Linked DNA regions of Anolis sagrei. The protein of the gene in region 1 purifies or fractionates together with the protein of each later gene. This does not show direct contact. Links are inferred from orthologs where the notes say so. Each region holds a gene or a part of one and is shown on either strand. Other genes may lie near its edges. The genes, in order: ZNF217 and CTBP1.

What was found.
Region 2: the proteins of ZNF217 (region 1) and CTBP1 purify together in Homo sapiens (affinity purification with mass spectrometry; 10 studies listed by BioGRID and IntAct, counting the BioPlex papers as one, with this or other methods). This does not show direct contact. The link is inferred for Anolis sagrei from reciprocal best matches to the Homo sapiens genes ZNF217 and CTBP1.

What each region holds. Positions count from the first base shown.
Region 1 is NC_090024.1:224,626,375-224,641,878, reverse strand, and holds the start of ZNF217 (zinc finger protein 217), read left to right. Parts: upstream 1-9,100; 5' UTR 9,101-9,182; intron 9,183-14,011; exon of another isoform or gene 14,012-14,147; intron 14,148-14,383; exon of another isoform or gene 14,384-14,471; intron 14,472-15,504.
Region 2 is NC_090023.1:143,539,320-143,554,895, forward strand, and holds the start of CTBP1 (C-terminal-binding protein 1), read left to right. Parts: upstream 1-7,182; 5' UTR 7,183-7,417; coding exon 7,418-7,457; intron 7,458-15,576. UniProt on the Homo sapiens protein: Corepressor targeting diverse transcription regulators such as GLIS2 or BCL6. Has dehydrogenase activity. Involved in controlling the equilibrium between tubular and stacked structures in the Golgi complex.

The DNA.
Region 1 (15,504 bases):
GGTATTAGTGGTATTATTATTTATGTCCTACTTTCCTCTCTTAAAGGAGAGTCAAAGCAGCAGTTAAAATGTGTCAAACTGTATTAATTCTACCATATTGATGCACCACATATTACCTTTTCACATTCTTCTCAGAACAAAATGTTATTGCACTCTAATATCACATTCCTAAACTGTAGAATTAATGCAGTTTGGCACCATTTTAACTGTTATGTGGTTTGAAGCTAAGGAATTGTTTGAGTTGTAGCATTACATGGTCCTTAGCTTTCTATGTTACGAGGTTTGGTGCCTCACAAAAATATAATTCCCAGAAATCCATAACACAGAGCAATTGCAATGAAATTATATTAATTCTACTGTGTTGCCTAAACAATTAATTTCAGATACTCAATTCACAAATTAAATATTCTAATTTCTTCTGTACAAACCCTCTTATGGAAAAAACATACTCCAGTCTTATGGTTTCCTCCTTCGCTGCCCTCTTTGTCAACACAAACATATTAAGAACATCTTAATTGATTTTAAAATTTCTATTAGCCGCATTTTTAACTGTTTATTTGAATTCTGCTTTTAACTGTTCCTTTGAAATCTGTGTAATTTTTTTAATTATTCTTTTTATGAAACTGGTTTGTTATTATTGAATTTTTATTTCTTGGAGCTGTCACGTCTGTTGTGGTACTTTTACGGCATTGAATGTTTGCCATTTTTGGTTGTGACCTGCTCTGATTCCCCATGGGGAGATTGGGCAGGATAGAAATAAAGTTTTACTTACTTACTTTTTAACTTATATGTTTATGTGGCAAAAAAGTTTAATCTTTCCTCAGAACTATCCAAGAAGCATTGTCTTCAATTCAGGCAAACAGAAATGCTGGAAGGAGAAACTGAGGGCCCATCCAGATAGTACCTTTATCCCAGGAGCTTCTGCAGCAAACAGGAGGATGGCCAGACGCTGTTCTCTGTAAACCTGGAAGTAATCACAACAAATGGCAAAAAACACAAGATTTCCAGGTTTTTAAGCTGAATATCCGGATATTCACATCTGTATGTCCCTGCAATTGGATATCACAGGATTTTTTTATCTTGGTTTGTTCCTGGGTTTTTAATGCTTTCTCCTGATTCATCCGTTCCTTAAAAGAAAGTGACGCTTGAGTAGAAGGCAAAAACTTTGTCTTGGGAAGAGGAACTTCATCCTTCACCTGTTTGTAGCAAAAAATTAAGTTCTTGGGGTGCAACAAGTACTTTCACAGTAATTAGTACACAATGAAACAGGAACATACACTTTCAAACCAGGAACAGAATGTCATAATTACTATAATTACTCAGACCTTGTTGTGTGGCCATCTGTGCAGACAGGTCTCATGGTGTACTTCTGCCAGGGAACAACAGGATGATGTTGTTGGGTTATACGTGTTGGTTCGTCATTGGGTGTATGCTGATAACATGTGTACAATTGATGACAAAAACTTATCACTGGCTGTTGAAACATGGATGTGCTGGAGAGGAATGTAAATACTGAGAGCCAAGGTCATGCAAGTGGCTAATAGGAAAAACCACGTGTAATGCAGGAACAGCTCTGGGTTGTTTGATGCCATAATTACACAACCAAATCTGTCTGGACAGATGGCCAGGCAGTCTGTAAAAAGTGACAATAATGACAAAGTTCCGTTCCTAGCTTGAAAGTGTGTGTTCCTGTTTCATTGTGTAGTTCTGACTTGGATAGAAGTAGCCTTACTCCAAAAACTTTGTTTGTGTGCCTGAAACTTGATGAAACATGTGGAGGACACAGTTTTTTTTGGACTGCACATAAATAGTACCCTTTGCAGAGATGTGGATATGAAAATAACCTCATATCCGCTAATATGGAAAGCCGAATAAAACCCAGAAACAGAACCCTGTTGTTGGATGCCACAAGTACACAACCAAATCTGTCTAGACATATGGCCAAGCAGCCAGGCTCTAACAATAGTAGATAATGACAAAGTTCTGTTCCTGGCTTTAAAATGTGTGTTCCTGTTTGTGTACTGCTGACTTGGATAGTAGTGGTTCTATCCTATGAGGTTTGTAAGTGTGGGAGATACTTCAGGGGACAAGTTTTCTACCCAGGACAAAAAATGGGACTTTTGCGGTTCGCCGTATATTCTAACATCCTCATATCCGCATCTCGCAATATGTATATAGTAAAGGTAAAGGTAGTCCCCTGACATTAAGTCCAGTCATGTCTGACTCTGAGGTGTGGTGCTCATCTCCATTTCTAAGCCGAAGAGCCAGCGTTGTCCGTAGACACCTCCAAGGTCATGTGGCTGGCATGACTGCATGGAGCGCCGTTACCTTCCCGCCGGAGCGGTACCTATTGATCTACTCACATTTAAATGTTTTCGAACTGCTAGGTTGGCAGAAGCTAGGGCTGACAGCGGAAGCTCACGCCGCTCCCCGGAATTGAACCTGCAACCTTTTGATCAACAAGCTCAGCAGCTCAGTGCTTTAACCCACTGCGCCACCAGGGGCTCCCGTGCAATATATATATATATATATATATATATATGTATAAAACTGCCGGTTTCCAGCGAAAGTTCTGCCTCCAGCAGCCATCTTGGGAGCCTCTAAATCTTGGAACAAAGCATGATATTTGGACAATGGAGGCAGCAATCCTGGGACCAACAGGTGTATATGTGGACCTCTCCTGAAGTCCCGGGATTTTTTGCCCCTCACTAAAGCCTGTGATAAAGTGCTGTCTGGAAGCGCCCCAAGAAAGAGAATTTATTATTTATTTAGCAGTTTTGTATACCGGTCTTCTCACCTCCATCGAGGGACTCAGGCCGGTTTCCAACAACAATATTACAAACTATCATTAAAACATCATAATCCAAATAACACTAAAACATTAAAATAGCAAAGTACAGTCATAATTACAGTGGTCAGTCATCATGTATTGTCGAAGGCTTTCATGGCCGGAATCACTCAGTTCTTGTGGGTTTTTTCGGGCTATATGGCCATGTAGAAGGAAAGTCAGGGAGCACAGTAGATGTGCTTTCCTGGTCCTTAGTTTCTCCAATTTCCGTGTGTCTTGGAACAGTTTCTCCCCGTAGAGATGTTCAATGTATTGTCGAAGGCTTTCATGGCCAGAATCACTCAGTTCTTGTGGGTTTTTTCGGGCTATATGGTCATGGCCATATAGCCCGAAAAAACCCACAAGAACTGGGTCAGTCATCATCCTAAAATAATTGTTGGTCATCATCCATCCATATCACAGGATCTTGAGAAGAGGAATGACCCTGTTTAACCATTTCCTATGGTAGGTGATCACAGCTGAAACCTTTCCATCTTCTCCAGACATTAGGTTAACATATTTTAGGAGCAGGGCATTTTCAGTGGGGACTCTACCCTAGATCCTTTTAACTGGGGACCTTCCCCTTGTCAGTTAATTGTGAGTTGGCCAGAATGTAATCTGGACACCTCCTTTTTATTGTGAAAGTTTCTGCAATAAAGGGGCTGTCTGGATGGGCCCTTAGATTCAGTTTGGTTATTTGGAGTGCTGATTCAGAAAATTGCGTTGGATAGACCACATCAGCTCTAGTTTCTGATACAGAACATATGTCACCCAGTAGTTGCCATCTACTGGCGGCCTGAAAAGTTAAATAGCCTCTGTGTATGTCTGTATATGTTTGTATGTCAAAAATTGGCATTGAATGTTTGCCATATATGTGTACACTGTAATCCGCCCTGAGTCCCTGCGGGGTGAGAAGGGCGGAATATAAAAGCTGTAAATAAATAAATAAATAATTGTCCACAGAAAACCCTGTTTAATAAACTTCAGTACTATAAGAGAGTTTCACAAGGCCAGTTACTTTAATTGCAACAGTGTAGCAATGGTTAGACCGTGGACCATATTTTAGTTCTTGCGCTCCACTGGTGGTCAATAGACCACAGGTTGGGAACCACTGTTCTGCAGTGTAGAATCACCCAAATTGGCACCGTATACAATGAATGGCAAATGAGTAGTTCTATATAAAAGATACACATCTTCTATAGTTTCCTATGGCTGTCTAGGGCCTCATCTACACAACTGTATAAAATCTTACCTTATCTGCTTTGAACTGGGTTATATGGCATCGTGGACTCAGATTATCTGCCTTGATATTCTGGGTTATATGGCTATGTGGAAGGGCCCTTAGTATCATGACTTTACCTCTTTTTCCTCTCTGTCTCAACAAATATGGAAAAGTATCTATTCTAAATAAATATTATGTTATTGTATAAATAAATATGTTGTTGTTTACACTGGTAGCATTGCTGTGTTCTGCTCACTCCAAAATGCTGATCAGTTTACCTTAAAGATGATTTGCCTAGAATAAGTTTTTAAAAAAATATATTTGTATTATTTTAAATTTACAACATCCTATAACATTTTGAACATATAGTTACCTGAAACATGTCAGTCAAGCAAATGAAATAAAACATAATTTAGTAGTAATATCTTCATTGTTTAAAGAAAAAACTTAACACGCAAGAGGGAATTGGGACTAGCAAGAAATAACTCAGGCATTGTTAATAGGCTTGCTGCCAAAGCAACAATGAGGGAGTTATTATTTTGATTCCCTTGTAACAGCCACTGAAATTAGAATATCTCATGCCCCTATACAACTGAAGACATTTGATAAAGATGACCCCTAAGTGATATGTTTAGCTGCTCAAATAAACTGTCAAAACTCCGCCCTCTTCACCAGTTCCCTCATTCTTTCTGTCTTCCTGGAAAACAAAAATCTAATCCATCAAGTCCATCCTCCAACCCCTTTCCTCCAATCCTAGGCCAGTTATTCTACTTTGCTGAGTCCTTTGTGCTTGCTAATCCAAGAAGGGCATTTTCTTACCATTCTAATTTGGAAGTTCTGCATTGCTCTCCAACACTTAGTCAACTGTTTGTTTTCTTTTTAATCTGGCTCTCCACCTAAATTACACGCAGACAAGATTTGACTATAGAATTCCACAAAATTCTGAAAATGAAAAATAATCTGCTGTTTTAAAAACAAGGAACCATATAACAACCCTATAGGCCAGTATCATTATAAATATCATTATAAGATTGTATAGACCAGTGTTTCTCAACCTGGGGGTCGGGAACCCTGAGGGGGTCGCGAAGGGGTGTCAGAGGGGTCGCCAAAGACCATCAGAAAACACAGTATTTTCTGTTGGTCATGGGGATTCCATGTGGGAAGTTTGAGCCAATTCTATCGGTGGAGTTCAGAATGTTCTTTGATTGAAATGAACTATAAATCCCAGCAACTACAACTCCCAAAAGTCAAGGTCTATTTTCCCCCAGACTCCACCAATGTTTACATTTGCGCATATTGAGTATTTGTACCAAGTTTGGTCCAGATCCACCATTGCATGAGTCCACAGTGCTCTCTGGATATAGGTGAACTATAACTCCCAAACTCAAGGTCCATACCCACCAAACCCTTCCAGTGTTTTCCGTTGCTCATGGGAGTTCTGTATGGCGAATTAGGTTCAAATCCATTGTTGGTGTTCAGAATGCTCTTTGATTATAGGTGAACCAGTTTGGTCCAGTGAATGAAAATACATCTTGCATATCTGATATTTACATTATGATTTATAACAGTAGTAAAATGACTGTTATGAAGTAGCAACAAAAACAATGTTATGGTTGGGGGTCACCACAACATGAGGGGTCACGGCATTAGGAAGGTTGAGAACCACTGGTATAGACGTTTGGAATGCTTTGCAATCACCAATAAACCATTTGACAATTCTATACAGAGGTCAGTATAATTTTTTCTACCTTGGATGTCGAAGCCTGAAGTTCAAAGCATATAGAATCATGGAATCATAGAGTTGGAAGAGACCTAGTAGGCCATCCAGTCCAACCCACTGCCAAGAAGCAGGAAAATTGCATTCAAATCACCCCTGACAGCTGGCCATCTAGCCTCTGTTTAAAAGCCTCCAAAGAAGAAGCCTCCACCACACTCCGGGGCAGAGAGTTCCACTGCTGAACAGCTCTCACAGTCGGGAAGTTCTTCCTAATATTTTATTTAAATTTAAAATTTAAAATAATACAGATGGAATCTCCTTTCTTGTAGTTTGAAGCCATTGTTCCATGTCCTAGTATCCAGGGCAGCAGAAAACAAGCTTGGTCCCTCCTCCCGAAGACTTCCTCTCACTTGTTTATACATGGCTATCATATCTCCTCTCAGCATTCTCTTCTTCAGGCTAAACATGCCCAGCCCTTTAAGGCGCTCCTCATAGGGCTTGTTCTCTAGACCCTTGATCATTTTTGTCACCCTCCTCTGGACACATTCCAGCTTGTCGACATCTCCCTTTAATTGTGGTGCCCAGAACTGGACACAGCATTCCAGATGTGGTCTAGTGGTACAGATGTGATCTAATAATCTACATTCAGAAACTGAATTCTATGGCAGTGTAGATGGGGCCTTAGAAGGAAGGCTGGAGTCACATGTGGAACCGAGGACTTTCAGATGGCCATTATACTGTATATTTTGCATCCACACATTCCTTGTTTTTAATATTAAATTTGTTACATATTCTTCCAATCCTTCTTCTATGGTTATCATATGGCTTACTGGTGGTTGCAAAGCATTCCAAAGCATTCCATACAATCCTATAATGATGTTGGTTTACTGTATATGATTTTGGTATAGCATGGTGTTTCAAGCATTGGATGCAACTCGAGAGAACAGAGTTTGTATCCCTGTTTGGCCATGGAGACCTACAAGATGACCTTGTATGCAAGTCACACTTTCTCAGCTCCAGATGAATGCCATAGCAAACCTCCTCCTAAGAAATCTTGCCAAGAAAACCCTATGATAGGGTCGCAATAGCTCTGAATCACTTGAAGGCATGCAACAACAATGGCTTACTGGAGAATGCAAAGTATTCCAAACACCCCTAGAGTTTTATAGTTGTTACATGTGTGTGCGCGTTAAACATCAGAGAACCAGAGATGCTGGACTCTTCTCTCAACAAAACAGCAGACCTAAAACTAGTGAATCCCAAACTCACAGATCTAAGATTTCCTACAAAAAATTACGTCCCTTATATATATCTATATTTCATCCATGGAGAAAAGAGTAGATTAAATCATGAGGTGGAAAAACAGAACCATAAAACCAACAAACTAAACCACCTTTCTTCACCCAAGGTATATTTTTCATACTTAGAAGAACCATTTTCACTTCAAAAGTTTATCAGAGAGAGAAGATTATCATTTATTTCAGGGTTTGCTAAACTTTAGGATGATTCCCCACTGATAACACAGGCCTGTGACATTAAGGGTCATAAAACCGTTTAAAATGTATGTTCTGGTTTTATAGGAATTTAGCATTTTATGTCCAAAAATGAGCTCAATTTTGCTCCATCATGTAAGAATTTTCCCCTAACTTGCTTTGACATTTATATGCAAATCGTTTTGAAATGGAATTTGTGAAAAGAACAGTGTGTGATACATTTTTTACCTATTTACCTATTTTCTTCCTAAATTAAATTTAATTTCTTCCTATATTTACCTATTTTCTTCCAGTTCCTCACAACTATATCTCATGCCTGAGCACCCATTTTCACTTTATGGCTTTGTCAGCAAAGGAAGGAGAGAAATGTTGTCATTTATGAAGGGTTCTCCAAACTTTGGGATGATTCCCTAGTGATAGTTTTCTTTTACAGTTTCTTCCACAAGACAGCCAGAGCTCCCATTTTATCAATTACCCCCCTTTTGTGGCAAAATCCCACCAAACCCCTTTAACAATGCAGTGTAAGGCATAGTGAAAAGGACTGCCAGTTTAGCCCTTCCAAAAGTCACTTGAGAATATGACCTCAATGCCTCAATACATCTTCAACAGGATGAAATATCACAATAGTAAAGAAGTGTGGCAAAATTACATGAGAGATTGCCAAGGGTGCATCTCCACTGTAAAATTAATACAGTCTGACACAACTGCTGTTTAAAGTTTTGCAATGTCTTTAGCTTTCTCTCCTAGGGTGCTCACCAAACTCCAACTCCCGCAATTTCATAGCATTGAGTCATGACAGTTAAAGTTGTGCCAAATTGCATTAATTCACAGTGGAGATGCACCCCAGTTTCAGGCTTTGACAATGCAAGTCAGAGGGAAAGTAATTTGAATGCCTGGCATAAAATTACAATTTAAGGTTGGTTTTGTCATTCTAGTTAGATTTATTAATATCACATTTATTTATTTTTTTCCATATTAAAAATAAATATATATTAGGATGATTTTAATGCCTTGTCTGAATGTTTAAATTTTAAATAAATATATATTAGGATGATTTTAATGCCTTGTCTGAATGTTTAAATTTTGATTTTTGTCATATATTTAATGGTTTTAATGATTTTAAGTCAAAGTTATATGTGCTAAAACAATCATTGTCAATGGCAAAAATGGCTATGGAAGTTTCAATTGTGTTAAATTAATGTTAATAACATGGAACTTTTTAGTTTTTTGGCGGCTCAGGGAGCTTCATCATTTAACCAGGCGTGTTTGGTTTTTGTGATTTGTGTTACTGTATGCCAGAATTTAATTTTTGCCAATAATATGATGTAAACTGCCTTGAATTCCCCCCAGGGGTGAGAAAGGAAGTATATAAATACAGAAAATAATAAATAGATAAATAAATGCATCTCTTTAGCCTTCTAGGAATCACTCTACCTGGGCCCTTTGTATCCCAGAGACACCCTGGATGCTCAAGCCCTATTATAGACAGTGATGCAGGAAAATGGTGCCCCTTATATAAAATGGTTAAATCAACCTTTGCTTTTTGAAATGTCTTTGGATATATGTGTGTGTAGAGAATATTTCTAAGTTGTGAATACTTAATCTGTGCTAGCTGTTAAAGATGAATGCATACATGCATGCATTGAAGGGGGAACCCAGCATTTGCTTGCAACTCCCCAAACTAATCTGCTTCCTCTCCTTCCCGCCTCTTATCTGTGGCTGTTGTTGCTGCTGCTGGAGGAGGAGAAGGAGAGAGAGGGGGGAAAGAGGGGAGGGGGAAAGAAGGCAGGACCGCCCCTTCTTTGGGGGTCAATGAGGCCAAAGCAAGGCAAAGAAACCTGATAAAAATCATCCTTTCTTCTCCAAGATGGCAAAGCACTCCTTCCAGCTAGATTGCAGTGTTTTGCAGACATCTGTAAGAGGGTATGTATGACAAAGCAGCAATGCTATTGGGGTTATTTTTCTATGTGCAATGGCTTGATTGCTTGACATTTTAACATTAAACCTCTGAGACATGGCCCTGTTGATGTGGAATATATCTGCATGCAAAGGGGATCGTTGAGGCTGATTATTTATTTCTCTCAAGTTAGATTCCTTTGCAGGACAGAGTGATATGCATTCAAAAAAGAGAGAAAAAGAAAAGAAGTGATGAAAGAAAGGACAAGACATATAACTAAACCATAATAGGGCTCTGACCATCTCCCTCCCTCATGGAAAGAAAAATTAAAAAGGTAAATATAAAATATTGTACTATTATGGTCCAGCTAAATAATAGTCACAGATTATTCTGTCATTAGCTTCCAAAATGCTCAGAGAGTCCACAAACAGATAAAATTGATATAGCTTTGAAAATCCACTTTAAAGGCCAATTCTGCAACCTTGGCAATCCCTTCTTCCATTGTGTATCCTGCAATTCAGTTTCCAAATTTGAGCTAACAATAATCCTTGCTACTTTTGACATACATTCAAGAAGTGATCCATATTTACTATTCTAAATCTTTATCCATGTGTGATTGGTGCATTATTAAAGGATCCCCATCAAATTCCTAGCTTTCTTTTGGAGATGGATGGGGCAAAACTCCAGTTCTTTCATTTTCCAGAGCAAGCCCCTTGATTCCATTTTGAAACAAAAGAGGAGAGAAACCATGGAAATCTAAACCCCATTGATTTTGGGGAGGGGGCTTACTCCCAGGTGAAAGATTGCAGCCTGAGGCCATTCCTATTAGCCATTTATAAATCCCACTCTTTAATTTTGCTGTGGCTCAAGGGATTCCTGGATAGTAACACCACTGGAGCCTGATGTGTTTTGTGCAATTGGGTTTTCCAATCAAGGTATCTCTCTGTTGTGGATTTTGCCTTATTTTTCTCCATGGCATCAAAACAGGCCTCCTTATTTTATTTATTTACTTGATTTATTTATTCATACCCCGCCTTTCTCACCCTGCAGGGGACTCAAGGCGGCTGACAAACTCCGGCAAAAATTCAATGCCACAAGATTAAACAATACTAAAACAAGCTATAAACAGTTAAAACATATAAACAAATCAACACACATAAAAGCAATAAAACAAATTAAAAACATAATAAATTAAAAACATAACTAAGTGCCGAATCATTGGTTTCCATACTTATTTATTTTCTCATGGTCCTTGCTCAAGCTATTGAGGTCAATTCCATAATAATTCTGTTTTCCGAACACCTGTGTACAGAGCCAGCCTGATGTCACTGGGGAGAGAGTTCCACAACCGAGGGGCCATCACTGAGAAGGCCCTACCTTTCGTCCCCACCAGTTGCACTTGCGAGGGGGGTGGGACCGAGAGCAGTGCCTCCCCAGCAGATCTTAAAGCTCCAGTACACTCATAAAGGGAGATCCGTACAGACAAGTATCTCCTTGGAGATGAGGCCCCATCTACACTGCCATATAATGCAGTTTAACTGCATTGAACTACATTGTATGCATCGACACTGACCATGTAATGCAGTTTCAAACTACATGGCAATGTAGATAAGGCCCTTGCAATCCTCAGCTTGATCCATCAAAGTTTACTCCTAAGTAGGCACACCTATTCAAGCAGGGTGAGGTGTCTTGCAGAATCCCAAGAGGTCTCTGCTCTGGAGGCATTCCCAATTAAAAAGAGACTGGGGTGGAGCAAAGGCAGAAAAAGAAGGAAGAATGCTAGGTTAATCCAGTTGCAACTTTTATTCCTGGGTTCATAACCCCTTGCAAAAATTGCATATACATCAAAGACTCTTGATCAATGGGTGGGTTTAGAGGTGTGTTTGTGCTTCCATGTTACAGCTCCATTTCTCAGGAAGACTTGCATGGAAACAATATAAACAAACCAAAATAAATCTCCCTCCTACCATATATATGAGGGGTTTATAATCCCACCCAACATAGGACAGAGACCCTTGAGATCAAGGGTGGATTTAGAGGTGTTCTTGAGCCTCCCATGTTATGGCTTGATTTCTGGGGAAGACTTGTGTGGAAATAATATAAACATTTAAAAACTAATTACCCTTGTAACATATATAAAAGGGGTTTATAATCCCACCTTGAAATCTCCAATAGGCTGAAGACCCTTGAGATCAAGGATGGATTTGGAGATAGTATTTTCTATCCATGTTATGACAAATCACCTTTGTAACATATATACCAGAGGTTCATAATCCCTCCATGAAATTGCATATAGGCTGAAGACCCTTGAGATCAAGGGGCGCATTTCGAGGTGTGCTTTTCTGTTCATGTTGATTTCTCAGGAAAACTTGTGTGAAAGCAATATATGTACTTAAAACAAGTCATCCGTGTAACACATACATGAAGTGTTCATTATTCCACCCAAAAATTGCATATAAATTAAAAACCTTCGAGATCAAGGATGGGATAAGGAGGAGTGCTTGTGCTCCCACATTATTGATTGATTTCTCAGGAAATCTTATGCGGAAATGATAGAAACACTTAAAACAAATCACCCTTGCAACATATATAGGAGGGGTTTATAATCCCATTTTGAAATTACATATAGGCTTGAGATAAAGAATGGATTTTGAGGCGTGATTTTCCTTCTATGTTATGATGTTATTTCTCAAATCATCCTTCTAACATACATAGGAGAGGTTCACAGTCCTACTCAAATAATAATAATAATAAAGATAGATAGATAGATAGATAGATAGATAGATAGATAGATAGATAGGCTGGAGGGCCATGAGATCAAGGAGTGGATGTGTTTTTCTATCCATGTTATGGTTTTATTTCTCTGGAAGATCTGCATGGAAACAATATAAACACTTAAACCAAAACAAAGCAGACCCAAAAATTGCAAATAGGCTGAAGACTCTTGAGATCAAGGATAGGCGTCAAGGGCCTATATAACCACACAGCCATATAACCCAGAATATCAAGGCAGAATATCCACAATATCTGTTTTGAACTGGGTTATCTGAGTCCACATTGCCATATATTCCAGTTCAAAGCAGAAATGTGGGATTTTATGCAGATGTGTGGAAGGGGCCTATATTATGGCTTGATTTCTCAGATGTGCATGGAATCAATATAAACACTTTAAATCAAAAGGAATTAGTTACCTTTGTAACATATATATGAAGTGTTCATAAACCCAAAAATTGCATATAGGCTTGAGATCAAGAGATGTGTGGGTTTAGACGTGTTATTGCTGGCTTGGCTTTCTCAGGAGAGCTTGCATGGAAATGATATCAACACTTAAACCATAATCATATGCATAATTTACATATAAGCACATAGGTTGGATATCCCTGAGATCAAGGGTGGGTTTAGATCATCATTTCTCAACCTGGGGGTTGGAACCCCTGGGGGAGGGGTTGCCAAAGACCATCAGAAAACATATTTCTGATGGTCTTAGGAACTCCTTTGGCAGAGAAGGCTGAAGTTCTCTAGGCCTGTCCTCTTCCTTTTTGGAAAGCTGTTGAATCCTCCCACCAAAACGTCTCTGTTGGGGAGGGGAGAGCAGGCATGCTAGGAGCATGGCAGTGTGGTGCACATATGCGGGTGAGGGGAGTGTGCGAGGTTGGAGGGAGGCTCACTCCAGGGAGTCCGTTCAAGACATGGGGCTACTGTGTGGGAAGTTTGGCCCAATTCTATAATGGGTGGGGTTCAGAATGCTCTTTGAATGTAGGTGAACTATAAATCCCAGCAACTACAAAGTCTATTTTCCCCAAAGTCCACCAGTGTTCACATTTGGACATATTGAGTATTTGTGCCAAGTTTGGTCCAGATCTGCCATTGTTTGAATCCACAGTGCTCTCTGGATGTAGGTGAACTACAACTCCAATATGCAAGGTCAATGCTCACCTAACCCTTCCAGTATTTTCAGTTGGTCATGAAAGTTCTGTGTGCCCAAGTTTGGCTCAATTCCATCGTTGGTGGTGTTCAGAATGCTCTTTGATATAGGTTAATTATAAATTCCAGCAACTACAACTCCCAAATGACAAAATCAATCCCCCCCCCCCCCCAAGGTTCAGTTCCATCATTGGTGGTGTTCAGAGTGCTCTTTGATTGTAGGCTAACTATAAATTCCAGCAACTACAACTCCCAAATGACAAAATCAATCCCCTCCCCACATCCCACCAGTATTCAAATTTGGGTGCATTGAATATTTGTTCCAAATTTGGTCCAGTGAATGAAAATACATCCTGCATATCAGATATTTACATTATTACATTACATAACAGTAGCAAAATAACAAGTTATGAAGTAGCAATGAAAATAATTTTATGGTTGGGGGTCACCACAACATGAGGAACTGTATTAAGGGGTCACAGCATTAGGAAGGTTGGGAACCACTGGTTTAGATGGTTTGATTTGGAGGAAAACATGCTTTATAGATTTATAGACAGGATACAAAGACTTAATAATCTTTGCATTGATCACATTCAGGTTCCCCTTTTCCTCCAAATGCATTTGTGTTTAGAGAAAGGGGCACATGGTTGCCCTCTTCCTTTGCAACACTGCTTCTTCTCCAGCTAAGCATCCCAACCTCTTTTATCATCCTCCTTATTGGGAAATGCCCTCCCTTTGCGCTCCTTGGAAATCCTCCTCCTCTTCCCCCAACCCATTGGTATCAGGAGGACAGAAGGCAAAAGGATCAGGTGTGTGTGTGTGTCTTTGTGTGTGTGTAGCAGCAGCTCACGCAACCAGCCTCAAAAACTCCCAGTAGCCCTCCTCCTCCTCCTCCCTTCATCTTCCTCCTCCTCTTCCTCCTCCCTCAAGAATCCCTCCTCCCTCTCTCCTTTCTCATTCAAACGCTGCAACTCCTGTTGTGTCAGTTTTATCTCTTTCCTCCTCCTCCTCCTCCTCCTCCACCACCACCAAACCCCACCACTAGGCAGAAGAGAAAGCAGCAGCAGGTAAAGAAACCTAGATTATTATTATTTTAAAAAGAGATCCTTTTTATTTATTTATTTTTGCAAAGTCTTCTCATTAGGCTAGATTTCTCTCTCCCCCCCTCCTTTCTTTCCCCCAAAGACCCCCCCTCCCTTTTCAAAAGGAGGAAAGAAGCAGATGAGGAAGAGAAAGAGTGTAGCTTTTTCTGCTTCCTCTTAAACTTCTGGCTCTGTGTGTGTGATTTCTGCCTCGCCTTGGCTATTTACAGCGCCTCTCTTCTTCTTCTCCAATCCCTTTTCCTGCCATTCCAGTAGATGTTGGGGAAACTTCTATAGCTATCTCTATAGGTATTCCTTTTCAATACTTAAATATTATTATTGTCGATCTGGGTGGCAAGGGAAAGGGGTCTTTTTTGTGAGTTATGGATATTCCTAGAAGCAAGGTCTGCAAAATGTGTTTGGCTGAAGGTTGGGGGGGGGGGGGGGATAGGAAAGCAAGGGGAGGGGGGTCAGAAATGCTAATGAAAACTTTATTGATCCGTTTTGGCCAGTTTCGTTTTTGAATGCTTTCGAAATGAATTGAATCTACTCTTCCTAAACTATTGCAATTTTTGAATAAAAAAGATAGATATGCACTTCTATTTATGTAAAGATACTGGAGATTATAGGGTGGTTGGGGAGGAAGGAGAAAGCCTTAAAAATAAGCCACCTTCTTGGCTCTGGGGAAACAACAATAGGCTTAGGCAGAAGAGGAGAGTGCATATGCATAAAGAGTGTGGTTTCACTTCCCTGTGCAGAAGGCTCACCTTATCTATACATGGGGGAGACATTTCTTCATATTTCATTGGCTCCCCTTGTTTTTTGGGCTGGTTTTTAATATAATTTTTTGTTCCAGTTGGAGAAATCCTTTCTCTCAAAGCAGCTTCTGGACATGCAGTCCCTTCTCTCCATGCTGTGTGTGTGTTGAATCCCCTTGTGAGTCTCTGCATTGAAGTGGAAGAGTTTTTGAAGTCTTGTGGCCAGGAAATTTCTATGCTGGGCTTCATGTTAAAAGGGCATTTGGGGGTGTTTGTTGTTCAGAAGGACTTATTCAGCCAGTGGAACAACAAAAAAGGACAGTTGTGCCTTATCTCTTTTCTTTCTTTTTCCAATACTGTCCTTTCTAAAGTGACCTTGAAAGCTTTTTTTCTTTCTCTTCTTTTTCTAAATACTTCTTTTCCTAGGTGGAAAAAAAGGAGGGGGCAAGGAGAAGAAAGGCTCTATAGTACAGAGTCGAAAGAAAGCAGAAATAGGAACTTCCAGACTGTAGATGAAGTGAAATCATTTACAGAAGAATGTGAAAAGGGAAGTTTATGTGTGTGAAGGAACAGAAGGAAATAGC
Region 2 (15,576 bases), on another chromosome or scaffold:
AGTCCCATAATCCATGGTCCATCTTCATCCAAACCACACCAGGACATAAGGTGGGTCATGAGAGGTCTATGTGGCAAGTTTGGTCCTGATCAGTCATTGGATGAGGTTAACAGCCGTCTCAGAATGTGAGTTATAGTACAGCAAGTCCCATCATCCATGTTTGCAGTAGGATGTCGAGTCGGTCTTGCAGGCTCTGTGTGCCAAGTGTGGTCTGTATTGGTAATTTTCTGACTCAGCCCCCTCTGGCCTTTTCCTTTCCTCTCTTTGTCATCTCGGAATCTTGGAATTGAGGCTGGCCAATCAGAGACCATATGCAAATTTTCTTCTCATGACTCCGTTTCTGTCATGAACTCTTTTCTCCACCAGGGGCTCCTCTTGAAGCTGGCCAATCAGAGACCATATGCAAATAGCACCGCTGCCCAGCCAATCGGAATCTTTGAACTTTCAGGCTGGCCAATCAGAGACCACAGTGGCAGCCAATCAGAAAGCGAGCACATACACCGCCACACTTTTGTCCTCCGCATACAAGTTTTGACTTTTATTATATACTAGCTTGGGGACCCGGCGTTGCCCGGGTTATTAGAGAAAGTGGGTAATGGCGGTTCTGTATGCCAAGTTTGGTCTTTATTGGTCTTTGGATAATGGCTGCATTATTTTCAGGAAGTGAGTGAAGGTACTTGAAGTCCCATCATCCATGGGCCATCCTCCTACAAACAGCAGCAGGATATAGAGTGGGTCATGGGGGCTCTGTGTGCCAAGTTTGGCCTTTATCAGTTATTAGATGAGGGTGGCAGTGGTGTCAGTAAGTGAGTGAAGGTACTGCAAGTCCCATCATCCAAAGTCCATCCCCTTTCAAACTGCAGCAGAATGTAGAGTGGATCATGGGGGCTCTGTGTGCCAAGTGTGGTCTTGATTGGTCATTAGAAGAGGGTTGCAGCAATTTTTGGAAGGGAGTGGAGGTGCTTGAAGTCCCATCATCCATGGTCTGTCCTCCTCCAAACTGCAGCAAGATGTAGAGTGGGTCATTGGAGCTCGATGTGGCAAGTTTAGTCTTGAGTAGTCATTGGCGAGGGTCTCAGTGGTCTCAGGAAGTGAGCAAAGGTACTGCAAGTCCCATCATCCATCTCCAAATTTTTCCAAACAACACCAGGACGTAAAGTGGGTCATGAGAGGTCTATGTGCCAAGTTTGGTCTTGATCCGTCATTGGATGAGGTTTGCAGAGGTCTCAGAATGCGAGTGAAGGTACTGGAAGTTCCATCATCCATGGTCCACTCTTCTCCAAAACTGCAGCAGGATGTAGAGTGAGTCATGGGGGCTCTGTGTGCCAACGTTGGTCTTGATTGGCCATTAGATGAGTTTTGCAGCAGTCTTGGGTAGTGAAGGTACTTGAAGTCCCATCATCCATGGTCTGTCGTCCTCCAAACTGCTCCAGGATGTAGAGTGGGTCATTGAAGCTCCATGTGCCAAGTTTAGTCTTGATGAGTCATTGGCGAGGGTCTCAGTGGTCTCAGGAAGTGAGTGAAGTGACTGCAAGTCCCATCATCCACTGTCAAATTCTTCCAAACTGCACCAGGATGTTGAGTGGGTCATGCTGGGTCTCTGTGTAAATTGTGGTCCTGATCCATCATCGTTGGCAGTTGTAATGGTCTGAGGAAGGGAGTGCAGGTATTGCAAGTCCCATCGTCCATGGTGCATCCTCCTTCAAACTGCACCTGGATGTAGAGTGCGTCATGGAGACTCAGTGTGCCAAGTTTGGTATTTATTGGTAATTGGATGAGGGTTGCAGTGGTTGTGAAGAATTGAGCAATGGTACTGCAAGTCCCATAATCCACGGTCCATCCCCGGCCAAACCACACCAGGACGTAAAGTGGGTCATGAGAGGTCTCTGTGCGAAGTTTGGTCCTGATGAGTCATTGGATAACGTTTACAGCGGTCTAAGAATGTGAGTGGTGGTACTGCAAGTCCCATCATCCATGGTTCATAGTCCTCCAAACTGCAGTAGGATGTAGAGTGGGTGATGGGGGCTCTGTGTGCCAAGTCTGCTCTGTATTGGTAGTGTTCTGACCCAGCCCCCGGCCTTTCCTTTCCTCTCTTTCTCATCTCGGAATGTTGGATTTGAGGCTGGCCAATCAGAGACCATATGCAAATTTCCTTCTGTCATGCCCCGTTTCTGCCATGAGCCCTCTTCTCCACCAGGGGCTCCTATTGAAGCTGGCCAATCAGAGACCATATGCAAATAGCTCCACAGCGGCAGCCAATCAGAATCTTGGAACTTTCAGGCTAGCCAATCGGAAAGCTGCCACAAACACGTCCGCCCTCCACACTTCTACCCTTCCACTACAAACACTCTCTTTTATTATATATACAGATACAGATATAGATAGATATAGATATAGATATAGATAGATAGATATAGATATAGATTAACTTAGGTACCCAGCAATTTCCATGTTAAGTTGGGTTTTTTTTTAATCGTGTCAGAAGCAGCTTGAGAATATACTACAAGACGCTTCTGGTGTGAGAGAATTGGCCATCTGCAAGGACATTGCCCAGGGGATGCCTAGATGTGCTACCATCCTGTGGAAGGCTTTGCTTATGTCCCTGCATGGGAAGCTAGGGCTGACAGACAGGAGCTCACCCCATCTCACGGATTTGAACTGCTGACCTTCAAGTCTTCAGGTCAGTAGTTCAGCTGGCACAAGGGTTTAACCCATTGCGCCACCATGCTCATAATGGGTTTAAAAACCTGAATAGTGCTTATATTAACTCTATTATGCAATCTTTCTTGAGATTCTAATGCCGTGCTTTTCAGCCTGTGGGTCCCCAAGTGTTTTGGCCTACAACTCCCATAAATTCCAGCCAGTTTACCAGCTGTTAGGATTTCTGGGAGTTGGAGGCCAAAACATCTGGGGACCCACAGGTTGAGAATGACTAGTCTAATGGCTATGTGTTTATTTTGCAAGACATGTTGAAGATTTTTCAATGTAAAGATGGGTTTTACATCCTGGACATTCCACAGATATATAAACCTCACTTGCCCAGTTTCCCCTCAGCCTCTGAGAATGCCTGCCATAGACGTGGGCGAAATGTCAGGAGAGAATGCTTCTGGAACATGGCCATACAGCCCAGAAAACTCATAGCAACCCAATTTATTTATCGTGTCAGGAGCGAACCAAACAGTTGTATTGCATTAAAAAAAACCACAAAGTTTGCAAACTTGGCATTCTAGCTGGCCATTTGGAATGCCTCTGGTGTTGCTGCAAGAAGGTCCTCCATTGTGCATGTGGCTGGGCTCAGGCTGCATTGTAATAGGTGGTCTATGGTTTGCTCTTCTCCAACTGGCATGTCGTGGATTCCACTTTGTAGCCCAGTGTTTCCCAACCTTCCTAATGCCGTGACCCCTTAATACAGTTCCTCGCGTTGTGATGACCTCCAACCATAACATTATTTTTGTTGCTACTTCATAACTATCATTTTGCTACTGTTATGAATCATAATGTAAATATCTGATATTTATTTTCATTCACTGGACCAAATACGGCACAAATACTCAATATGCCCATATCTGAAAACTGGTGGGGTTTGGGGGGGGGGGGGTTGATTTTGTCATTTGGGAGTTGTAGTTGCTGGGATTTATAGTTCACCTACAATCAAAGAGCATTTTGAACTCCCCCAATGACAGAATTGAACAAAACTTGGCACACAGAACTCCCATGACCAACAGAAAATACTGGAAGGATTTGGTGGGCATTGATCTTGAGTTTGGGAGTTATAGTTCACCTATATCCAGAGAGTACAATGGACTCAAACAATGATGGATCTGGACCAAACTTGACACGAATACTCAATATGCCCAAATGTGATCACTGGTGGAATTTGGGGGAAATAGACCTTGACATTTTGAAGTTGTAGTTACTGGGATTTATAGTTCACCTACGATCAAAGAGCATTCTGAACCTCACCAAACTTCTCACACAATACCCCCACGGTCAACATAAAATACTGTGGTTTCTGATGGCCTTTGGTGACCCCTCTGACACCCCCTTGCGACCCACCCAGGGTTCCGACCCCCAGGTTGCGAAACACTGTTGTAGCCCCATTTCTTAAGGTTGGCTCTGCATCTCGTGGTGCCAGAGCACAGTCTGCTCAGCACCTTCCAAGTCGCCCAGTTTTGTGTGTGCCCAGGAGGGAGTCTCTCATTTGGTATCAACCATTAATTCAGGTTCTGGGTTTTAGCCTGCCACTTTTGGACTCGCTTGATGAGGTGTTCCTGCGAGTGTCCCAATGTGCATACAGATTGGAATTCCAAAGACCAGAACTACTCCAGATTCCAAAATTGTCTACTCTGGTGGGGGGGCTTGTTGCTACTAAAGGTTTGCAACGTACTTTTCTTAAGTTTTGGAAAGGATCAGAGCTGTTTCTGTTACAGCTGACACAGTTAATTATTGGGATAATTAAGTGTATTGTTATCTCATGTGTGTTTGTACTTTAAGTATTGCATTGTATTTGAGTTTTGCATTATCCGTGTTGGAGTTTTGCATTCTTTGTGTTGGAGTATTGTGTTCTACGTGTTTGAGCATTGTGTTTGTATGCTTTGCTTGGGGCTCGGTTTGAGTTGAAAAACCTTTGTTTGTTTGATGCCGAGAGAAGTTACTGCAAGCGTCCAGAGCTGAAAATAAGGCAGCAAGTCAAGGTCACTCTACGGACAACTGACTAAGGGAGACTGCATATCAACGCGGAATGAAGAGAACTCACCGAAGATATTGTTTTATGTTATGTTTTTGGTGAGAGCAATTCTTCTATTTTGTTTTGTATGCTGTGAATACAACTTCGTTTCTTTTCTACTTAAAGCTGAAGACTCATGTGTTTTTCTTTTATGAATTACACACTAGCTGTACCCACCATGCGTTACTGTGGCCAATCTTACATCTCTCCTTCCTTCCTTCCTTCCTTCCTTCCTTCCTTCCTTTCTCTCCTTCCTTCCTTCTCTTCTCTTCTCTTCTCTTCTCTTCTCTTCTCTTCTCTTCTCTTCTCTTCTTCCCTTCCTTCCCCCACCTTTTCTTTCCCATTCTTTCTCCCCTTTCTTCCTTCTCTACTTACTCTTGGACTGCACCTCCTAGCAGTCCTCCTGATCCATCCATCCATCTATCTACCTTACCTATCTGGAGGATTGCTGGGAGTTGCAGTCCAAGAATAGGAAATTGCAAGTATGCAGGGATTGGGATGCTCTTTAAAAAATCTAAGAAGAAAGCTTGCAGCTTGGAAACACTGCATTTGGATCATCCCCCTCTCTTAAAAGGCCTGGTCTAGGGGATGCTGGGAGCAATAGTCCGAAAGAGAGTGTGGAATTGCTATTGTGTGGGTATTTTTGCCGGGGGAGTCGTTTTTGTGCATGCTCTGTAGCATCTTTTTGCTTTTTTGGCTTTTTAAGTCCCAATGTGTTTTTCAGTGTTTTTATGAGTGATGGTCACTTGTTGGCCTGATGGGTGTATTGTGTCCAAATTTGGTGTCAATTCGTCCAGTGGTTTTTGGCTTATGTTAATCCCACAAACTAACATTACATTTTTATTAATATACTAGCTGTCCCCTGCCACGCTTTGCTGTGGCCTAGTCTGTGTATATGTTTGTGTGTATATATATTTGTATATGTGTGTGTTTATATTTGTGTATATATGTGTGTTTGTGTATATATGTGCTTTTGCGCATGCGTTGTAATGTGTGTGTGTGTGTTTTTTTTGCTTTTTAAGTCTCATCCACTGTGTTTTTTTGTGTTTTTATGGGTGATGGTCACTTGTTGGCATGAGGGGTGTCTTGTGTCCAAATTTTGTGTCAATTTGTCCAGTGGGTTTTGAGTTATGTTAATCCCACAAATTAACACATTTTTATTTATATAGATTTTTATTAATATAGACTAACTGTCCCCTGTCACGCACTGCTGTGGCCCAGTCTGTGTATATGTGTTTTGTGTGTGTGCATATATGTGTGTATATGTGTATGTTTGTGTATATATATGTGGTTTTGCGCATGCGTTATGTAATTATTGTTTTTGGCTTTTAAAGTCTCTTCTGCTGTGTTTTTCAGTGTTTTTATGAGTGATGGTCACTCGTTGGTCTAATAGGTGTATTGTGTCCAAATTTAGTGTCAATTCATCTAGTGGTTTTTGAGTTCTGTTAATCCCACAAACGAACATTACATTTGTATTGTCGAAGGCTTTCATGGCTGGAATCACTGGGTTGTTGTAGGTTTTCCGGGCTATATGGCCATGTTCCAGAAGCATTGCAAAGGTGTCCCTGCCTCAGCCTTGTCAGCATTTACATAAGTAGCCCGCAGGCTGACTTTACCCTTGTAGTAACTATATAAATAAAAATGTAATGCTCGGTTGTTGTAGGTTTTCCGGGCTATATGGCCATGTTCTAGAGGCAGTTTCTCCTGACATTTCGCCTGCATCTATGGCAAGCATTCTCAGAGGTAGTGAGGTCTGTTGGAAGTAGGAAAATGGGTTTATATATCTGTGGAATGACCGGGGTGGGACAAAGGACTTTTGTCTGCTGGAGCTAGGTGTGAATGTTTCAACTGATCACCTTGATTAGCATTTGATGGCCTGGCAGTGCCTGGGGGAATCTTTTGTTGAGAGGTGATTAGATGTCCTTGTTTGTTTCCTCTCTGTTGTTGTGTCGTTGGCCTAATAGGTGTATTGTGTCCAAATTTAGTGTCAATTCGTCCAGTGGTTTTTGCGTTCTGTTAATCCCACAAACAAACATGACATTTTTATTTATATAGAGTTATTACAAGGGTAAAGTCAGTCTGCAGGCTACTTATATAAACGCCGACAAGGCTGAGGCAGGGGCACCTTTGCTATCTGATATTTGCTATCTGCACAAAGTTATTGTAAATATTGTTTTTTTTTAAAAAAATTCAGGCCGTCTACGGTGAAGATGAACCGTGAATGAAAACCGTGTTTGGAGGAGGGTCCCATCTCGTCGGGGCAATGAATCAGGCGGGGAGGCGGCCCTCCTTCCCTCCCTCCCTCCAGAGGTGGGGTCCTTCTGCCTCCGAAAAGGGGCGGGGCGGAGGCCACGCCTCCTCCTCCTCTTCCCCTTCCTCCCGCGCGCACGCCAGCTTCCCTTTCCTTCCCTCCCTCCCTCCTCTCCGGCTCCACATCCGGCCAGCAGACAAGAGAGCAAGCGCGAGCCCAGCCCGGCCCCGCCCCTGCCTGCGCGCGCCTCCTCCTCCTCCTGCTCCCCCCTCCCTCCCTGATCGCGGAGCCTCAGTGCGAGGGCTCGGAGGGAGGGGCCGGGCGGGGAGGGAAGGCAAAGGAAAGGAAAGAAGGGGGCGAGGGAGCCGCCGGGGCCGCCATATGCTCCGAATCGCGCCCGAGCAGACCCCGCTGGAGCCCTGCCCCTGAGAGGCCTCTCGATGGGCAGCTCCCACTTGCTCAACAAGGGCCTGCCGCTCGGTAAGGCGCCGCCGCTGCCTCGGGTTTGCTGTGCCTGTTTCTCCCGCCTCGCGCACGGAGGGAAGGGAGGGGTGGGGGAAGGAGGAGGAGAAGGCCCCTCGCGCTTTGTGAGGCATTGTGTCCCCTCCTGCTTCCCCTCAGAAGCTGAGGAGTAGGCCGCAGGGAGGACATTGGGGGAGGGGGGGCTCTGCTTCGGCCTGGCCTCGCTCTCCGCTGGGGCCTTTCCCCGTGAACACAGCCCTTTGGGGAGGGGGCTCGCTGGAGGCCGGTTTCCGGTTGCGCCCCCAAAGGCTGAATATGGTTATTGGGCGCCGCTGGGAGGGTCCAAGGCCTGGCGCCTCTTGCCTCGCTCGGGAAAGTTTGATGTCGTCCCCTTTTGTCCTTCCTCCTTCCCTTCCTTCCTGGCACCGCCTGGGCCCGGTTTCGAGCCGCCCCTTCCCTCCCTCCTTTCCTCCAGGGGGCCGTTTGTGCCAAGATGGAGGAGGAGGAGGAAGAAGCCGAGCTCCCGCTTCCTCACCTCTGGGGGGCTCCCTGACTTCCTGGCTGTCTCGCTGCCCTCCCTTTTGATCCATCTTCTGTCTCTCCCTCTTGGCCATCCAACCAAGGGAGCGTGGAGCGCAGGGCTGCTCTTTCGATGCCGGCTTGGAGTGGGCATTGTTCTTAGGAAGCCATGTAAGGGCCTTGTGGTCAAGAGGGCTTTTAATAAAATAATAATAGTAATACTTTATTTATACCCCGCTACCATCTCCCCAAGGGACTCGGTGCGGCTTACATGAGGCCAAGCCCACCGCACATCAATAAACAAAACATCAATAAACAAACAATCAATACAATACAATTCATATAAATCACATTAACAAAAAATAGGCAATAAACAATCAACAGTGACATACAAGCATTTAAATCCAATGGTTGGGCCAAATGTAATAGATTAAAATTAAAAAATAATTCTGACGTGAGCAAGGTAGGATATAACTGGGATAGGATTTTCAGAGAGAATTGAGGGAATGCAGTCATTCCTAAATCAGTGGTAAAGTGCATTTTGAGGGCACATTGCTGAGAGTTTTCCTTATTCTGGGAAGGCACACTGGCACAACCACGCTTTTGTTTACAGCCACCCATCAACAGAGAGGCCATCTAGACTACCATATAACGCAGTTTAGAACTACTTTACGTGGCCAGTGTTGACTCCTATAACTCACTTATTAGGACCTCCTCACACTAGAGCAGTGGTTCTCAACCTTCCTAATGCTGTGACCCCTTAATATAGTCCCTCATGTTGTGGTGACTCCCAACCATAAAATTGTTTTAATTGCTACTTCATAACTATAATTCTGGAACTGTTATGAATCATAATGTAAATATCTGATATGCGTGATGTATTTTCATTCACTGGACCAAATTTGGCACAAATACCCGATATGCCCAAATTTGAATACTGGTGGGGTTGGGGGAGATTGATTTTGTCATTTGGGGGTTGTAGTTGCTAGGATTTATAGTTAAACCTACCATCAAAGAGCATTCTGAACTCCAGCAATGATGGAATTGAACCAAACTTGGCACACAGAACTCCCATGACCAACAGCAGATACTGGAAAGGTTTGGTGGACATTGACCTTGAGTTTTGGAGTTGTAGTTCACCTACATCCAAAGAGTACTGTGGGTTCAGACAAAGGTGGATCTGGACCAAACGTGGCATGGATATTCAATATACCCAAATGTGAATACTGGTGGAGTTTGGGGAAAATAGACCTTGACATTTTGAAGTTGTAGTTACTGGGATTTATAGTTTACCTACAATCAAAGAGTATTCTGAACCCCACCAATAGAATTGGGCCAAACTTCCTACACAAAACTCCCATGACCAACAGAAAATACTATGTTTTCTGATGGTCTTTGGTGACCCATCTGACCCCCCCCCCCCCCCGGATCCTGACCCCAAGGTTGAGAAACACTGCACTTAGAGAATGAATCCACTTTAAATCCGGTTGCTGCCTCCTGCAGAATTCTGGGGTTTGTAGTTTAGGGACAAGTCTTTAACAGCCTCACTAAACTACAAATCCCAGAATTCTGCAGGAGACACAAACTGGATTCATTCTCTAGTGCAGGCAAACTTCAGCTCTCTAGGTATTTTGGACGTCCAACTCCCAAAATTCCTAACAGCTGGAGTCCAAGACACCCAGAGGGCCAAAGTTTGTCCATGCCTGCTCTAGTGTGATGAAGTAGACAGGCTGCATTATATGACTCTACACAGACCATATAGTGCAGTTTCAAACTGCATTATAGGGCAGGGTAGATGAGGTCCCGAGGCTGGATCTACACTGATCTATATCCCAGAACCTGATCTCAGATTATCTGCTTTGAATTGGATTTATTTCTTTACTATATTTATACCATGCTCTTCTCACCTCAAAGAGGACTCAGGGTGGCTTACATCATAGCAAAATTCAATGCTGCATTATACATACTAAATATAACATATCAAATTATAAAACTATTAAAACATATAAATACAATAAGTAAAGCCCCCCCCCCCCTTAACATTAAGTCTAGTTGAGTCCGACTGTGGGGTGGTACTCATCCAAGGTGATGTGGCCAGCATGACTGCATGGAGTGCCATTACCTTCCTGCCAAAGCAGTACCTACTCACACTTGCATATTTTCGAGCTGCTAGGTTGGCAGAAGCTGAGGCTAATAACGGGAGCCCACCCTGCTCCCCAGATTTGAACCTCTGACCTTTCAGTCAGCAAGTTCAGCAGCTCAGTGGTTTAACCCACTATAAAACCCCTATAAATACAATACAACAGATTAACATCATAGTACCAAGTCCCATAGTCATTATATAAGCTGCTACGTTCAAATCGGATTGTATGAGTCTACACTCATATATGATCTACTGTGGAGGGCCTTCTCTTAGTCCCACCACCCGTTCAAGGACGCTTGATGGGAGCATGAGAGAGGGCCTTTTCGGTGTCTGCTCCCAGGCAATGGAACTCCCAAGAGAAACCAGCATGGCCCCATCCCTGCTGGCCCTCCGCAAGCAGATCAAGACCAACAGGCTTTTGGGGAAGGGTAAGGGGAGACTCTGGGGAGAATGGTGGGGGGAGATTGGGGGTATATGAGTTTTAAAGGCTATTTTAATGAATTTGCTGTATTTTAATTCTGGTTTTACTACATTTGTTATTATTTAATTGTTTTTAACTTTTGTATTGCTCTTTTTATACTGTTTATTGTGGATAGATGGTAGCCACGTTGAGTCCCCATGCGGTGAAAGGCGGGATAGAAATAAAGATAATAATAATAATACTAATACTAATAATAATAATACACTGCCAGATAATGTAGGAAAAGTAGATAATCTGGGATCAGATCTTGACATATAGGGCAGTGTAGATCCAGCCTTAGTGTTTAGAACCTCTCCCCTTATAATATGCCTTGCTTCCTCTACATTGTGTCTCCCTCAATAATTGGCTGTTAATGTTGGGTGCTCCAGGCCTGCCTTTTTCAGATCTGATTAAATGTTGTATTTGCCCTGTCCTCTGGAGACTAATATTAGCAACACAGAGAGTTAACCCAGCTACTTCAAAGGTACTTTGGTCTAAGTACCAAAGTAAAATCTCATGCAAACTTGCTATAGCTCAAAAGCATAGTTTTCATTTCTCCCTTCCCAAAATAAGGAAAGATAATCTTTGATAATAAAAAATCATTTTTTATCTCAGGTTTAGGTTTTAAAATATTATTTACTTAAATTCAATCAATGACTGCAATGTGATGATGACTGACCAAGGCACAGTTCCTTATGTGCAGTTGGTCCTTGGTATCTACAGATTCTGTATCCACGGGTTCAACCATCCATTATTGAAAAACATTAAAAAAAGGAGACATTCCAAAAAGCAAGGGAATTATGTAAGAAAAACTATTTTACCATACCATTGTATATAATAACACCTGAGCTTCAATGGGTTTTGGCATCCATAGAGGACCTGGAACTAGACCCTAGCAGATTCTAAGGGGCCACTGCTCAGAACTGCTGATAAGCAGTTTTATTTCTAATGAAAGTTCCAATAAAGTGGTGTAGTTTTTAAATTACATGATGCTAGCTGTGAATACCTAATGGGAAGAAAAATACTAACAATAAAACTATATTATATTCTTGTCCCCTCCCCCATTTTTAAAAAAAAGAAATATGATTATCCTGTCAGCATATAACATTAACACGAAATGACATTTTAGGTGCAGCACATTTCTTATTTGTATGAATCACCGTTCCTTTTTGTAATATGCCCATGCCTACCATTATTAATTTGCAGATAGAATGAGTACTTAAGTAATGGTTTTACAATTATGTTCAATTTATCACATTCAAAGAAAATCTATTTGCATTGATAGTAACATGGGGGAGAGGAGGCTTTTTGGTTATTTTTAGCATCTAAGGGAAAACACAGTTTTATTTATATTTAATCACAAAAACCATATGAATTTCTTAGTATTATTTGATGTGTTTTTTAAATAATTCCTTTATTAACTATAATTCTACTTGCTTCAGTCTTTGATATAGTAATTAACATTTTTTATTTTTTGATATTTCCTGGCATTGTGCAAGGAAATAGCATTGAAGCATGTAATAAGTGGGGGAAACTTTTTCTCTCACCCACTGCCCATCCTTTTACTTTCCAATTTACTTGTTACTAACCCCCCCCCCCCCATAGAATGGTCATGATACTAAAGTTTGAGAAAGCGTATCATGCAATTAAAGGAGCAACTGCAGCAATTGAAAGAAAAATGACTAAATATAAGAAAAACAATATTTTCCAGGGGTTGTTGTGAGTTTTTTCGGACAGTATGGCTATGTTCCAGTAGCATTCTCAAATTCACAACAGCCCAGTGATTCTGGCCATGAAAGTCTTTGACAGCACAATATTTTCCAAGTTGTTACAAGGAGAAATATTGGTAGGCCATTATTTTAAAAACAAGGATAGAACAGACTTGTTCTTTCTTTTTGAGTTAATATCTGTGTATGATATTTATACCCCACAAAGGGAGACTTCTATTTCTGCGTGGTGATCTGTTCAGCCACCAAAAAGCCCTCTTCAGTTTAATGAAATTCACCCGAGGATACAAATAAATAGTCAGAATGATGTGAATTAAAGAAGATAGTAATGCAAGCTGTCCCTAAAACTGGACTGCCATTATCTTACTATCAATAACTCAAAGCAAATAGTTAAACAGAATGCTTTTAGGGGCTTGATTAAATCTTGCAGTGATCGGAAGATAAACCATTTCCCTTTGTTCTTCGTGAATTAGCTGCCAGTTGGTTTCCCCCAAAAGACAGCTATGGCTGCAGTCCTATGCCCACTGACCCGGGAGTAAATGCTACTGAAGTTAGCGTGATATGCAGTTGAGTATGCATGTAGTGAAATAGAATAATTATTTACATGTCTGTTTCAAATAAGCATTACTGATTCCTGTGGGACTTAAGTAAGTGTATAGGATGCACCTTAGATCAGCCCTGAGCTTTGCTTTTCACTGGTTAGGGAAAAACATTTTTTTAAACTATGTAGTATGATCATGGATTTTAGAAAGCTGATAGAATTTGTGAAAAACAAAACAAAAGAGAGGGTGCAGTAGAAATCAGGCAGCAACCAAATCTAACGCTGTGTTTGCAAATACTTTTTCAGTTAATGTGCATGCTGTGTCAGCACAGAAAATTATTATTAAGTAGGACAGTGGCTTTCATGTTCTCTAAGGCCTGTCAAGGGTTTTGTACTGGTAATGGCAGACAGGCTGGTCAAAAGAAGGACCAGCTGTCATTTTGAATAATCTCTGCAGTATACAATCACAGGGAATGCTGTGTTTGGGTTGAAGGCTATGACTGTTTTGGAGCTCCAAAGGGCATCTTGGAAAAAATAGTCCAGAATTCTTGAAACATGCTGGGATTACGTGAATTACTGAATAAAAACAATAGGAAAAGTTACCTGGGAACTGGAACACTGCCAAGGAGAAGCTGAAGATCTGAAATATCTGTAACAGTGGAACTGCTTGGTATATGGCAAAAATCAGGATTTAGTTTGGTGTTTTTTTTAGTATTTTCAAGTCATTGTTGGCTAAATAAGTGGATACAAAGGGCTGACTGTAATTCTATATAAGGCTGTCCACAAAACCTCCCTGAAATAGGCGTCTTTTTGAAAAAAAATTCAGTGGATTTCCAGTGTTCAACCCAGTGTTCAAATCAGTTGGCCAACCCAGTGGAGCTATTTTGAACACAAATGCACCAGGAGCTTCTACAGCTTTCTACTAGGATAGATTTGTCTCTACTATAGAAACACAGATTGAGGATAATCGTTTTTGAGATCTTCAGGGGCCTGGTAGATGCATGTGCGGGCTTCCAGTTTTCTTGTTGGCTTCTGGACAGACATACCTGGCCTTGGTTGTGTGGAAGGAATTCTAAAAATGAGGAATAGGTGCTGAAAAGCTTGAGATAGGTTGCTTTAAATTTCATGATTGCCATTTGTAAAATTGCCTTTGTGCTGCTAGCAGGTTATGTGTTGGTGATTTCAGGTCAAGGAGAGTGTTTTGGGCTACTTCATGGGCTTGAAACGGATGTGATGACACTCACAGTCTCTGGGCTTGCGGCATTTAGAGGCTGTAAAATCCTGCAGCAGTTGGCAGTGGAAGGAACACTGCAGTCAAAATCTGAAGCCACTTAAACCTGGTCTCTGCCAATATTTATTTCATGAAAATGTTAGTAAAGCATTACATATAGGTTGGACACTTCTAGAGGAGAGAACCTTGGTGGAATACATGGATGATGTGGGGACAGTAAATAGTATCAGTAGACGCTTCAGTGCAGAAACAAGTTTTTTTTGAGAACACAGTGAAGGATTAGGGAGCAACCCTATTTATATTGACAGTGCTCTCCAGCTGAAAATGGAAAAGATGGATCTGAGAGCTCTTAACTATACTGATAGCAGAAAGGTTAACATAACTTAATTAAGCCATTGTTGTTTAGCCTGTTCATACAACAGCAAAACTCGGGAGTATCTAGTTTGTGGTGTTTATTTGTTAATTTCTATTACATAACACGTTATTTATTTAGCTGAATTTTAAAGTGTTTTCCCAAATGTTCAGTAAATGTTTTCCCAATTTTCAGTAAATGTGTTCTGGTGTTTTTGTCCTCTGGAGGATAGCTTCAAACCAACATTTTGGGGGAGGGGTGGGAGTCTATAGAGTAAACAATCCAAGCATCTTTTAGAAAATGATACCTGTTTCTAGTTTTAAAAACCTGTTTAATTGGTTGCGAAACTTGGCTGACCTGCCCTTGAGCCTCCCCCCTTTCCACCAATATTTCTCCTTTGGGTGATTGTGCTCATCTGTTTGATGTTTATCTTACAGCTCCTTTCCTCCCATAGCAGATGCTGGAAGCACTGCCTAGTGAAGATACCTCAATGTCAGGGTGTTTCTGGTCAGTTCATCCAGCATTCTTGTGCTTTTTCACTACAGTGTTTTCCTGCTTCCATGGCTTGTTGTACATCAAGCGACCTGCTTGGAGTGATGGCAGTTCTTCATTTTTCTTTTCCATCTTTTTATTTATTCTTCTGCATCAGTTCATGCTACCAATCCATGTTTATTGTGAATGTTGTGGGGACAAACAAAGAAAACACCTGGATTTTACTTTAGAAAGGATTTCACTGGCTACTGGGCTTGTTTTCAAGCATAATTCAGAGTGCCGGATATGACTTAACATCTCCTATGAAACTTTGCCTAAATTCTGAAATCTTTGGGGTTGGGGTAAGGAAGGGGCTTCTGTGTCCTGCTGCTCTGTGGGAGCCATGAGCTGGTTTTACAACAGCCTTTCTAAGTTCGTGGAAGGCTGGTTGCCTTCCCGGTTTTCCTCTTGTAAGCAAAAACATATTTATTAAGATATTCCTTTGGCAAATAATAATTTGCTTGAAGAATTGACTTTATACTCAACCAAATTTACTTTTTTATAGATAGATATGAAAATTGTTTTTAATTATGCTTTTTAATGCATGAACTTCATTTTGTGTTGTATATTTATTCATTCATACCGGGTGTCATTTTAGGTTCCATGTATAGGTGGAATATTACTCTGGGGAAA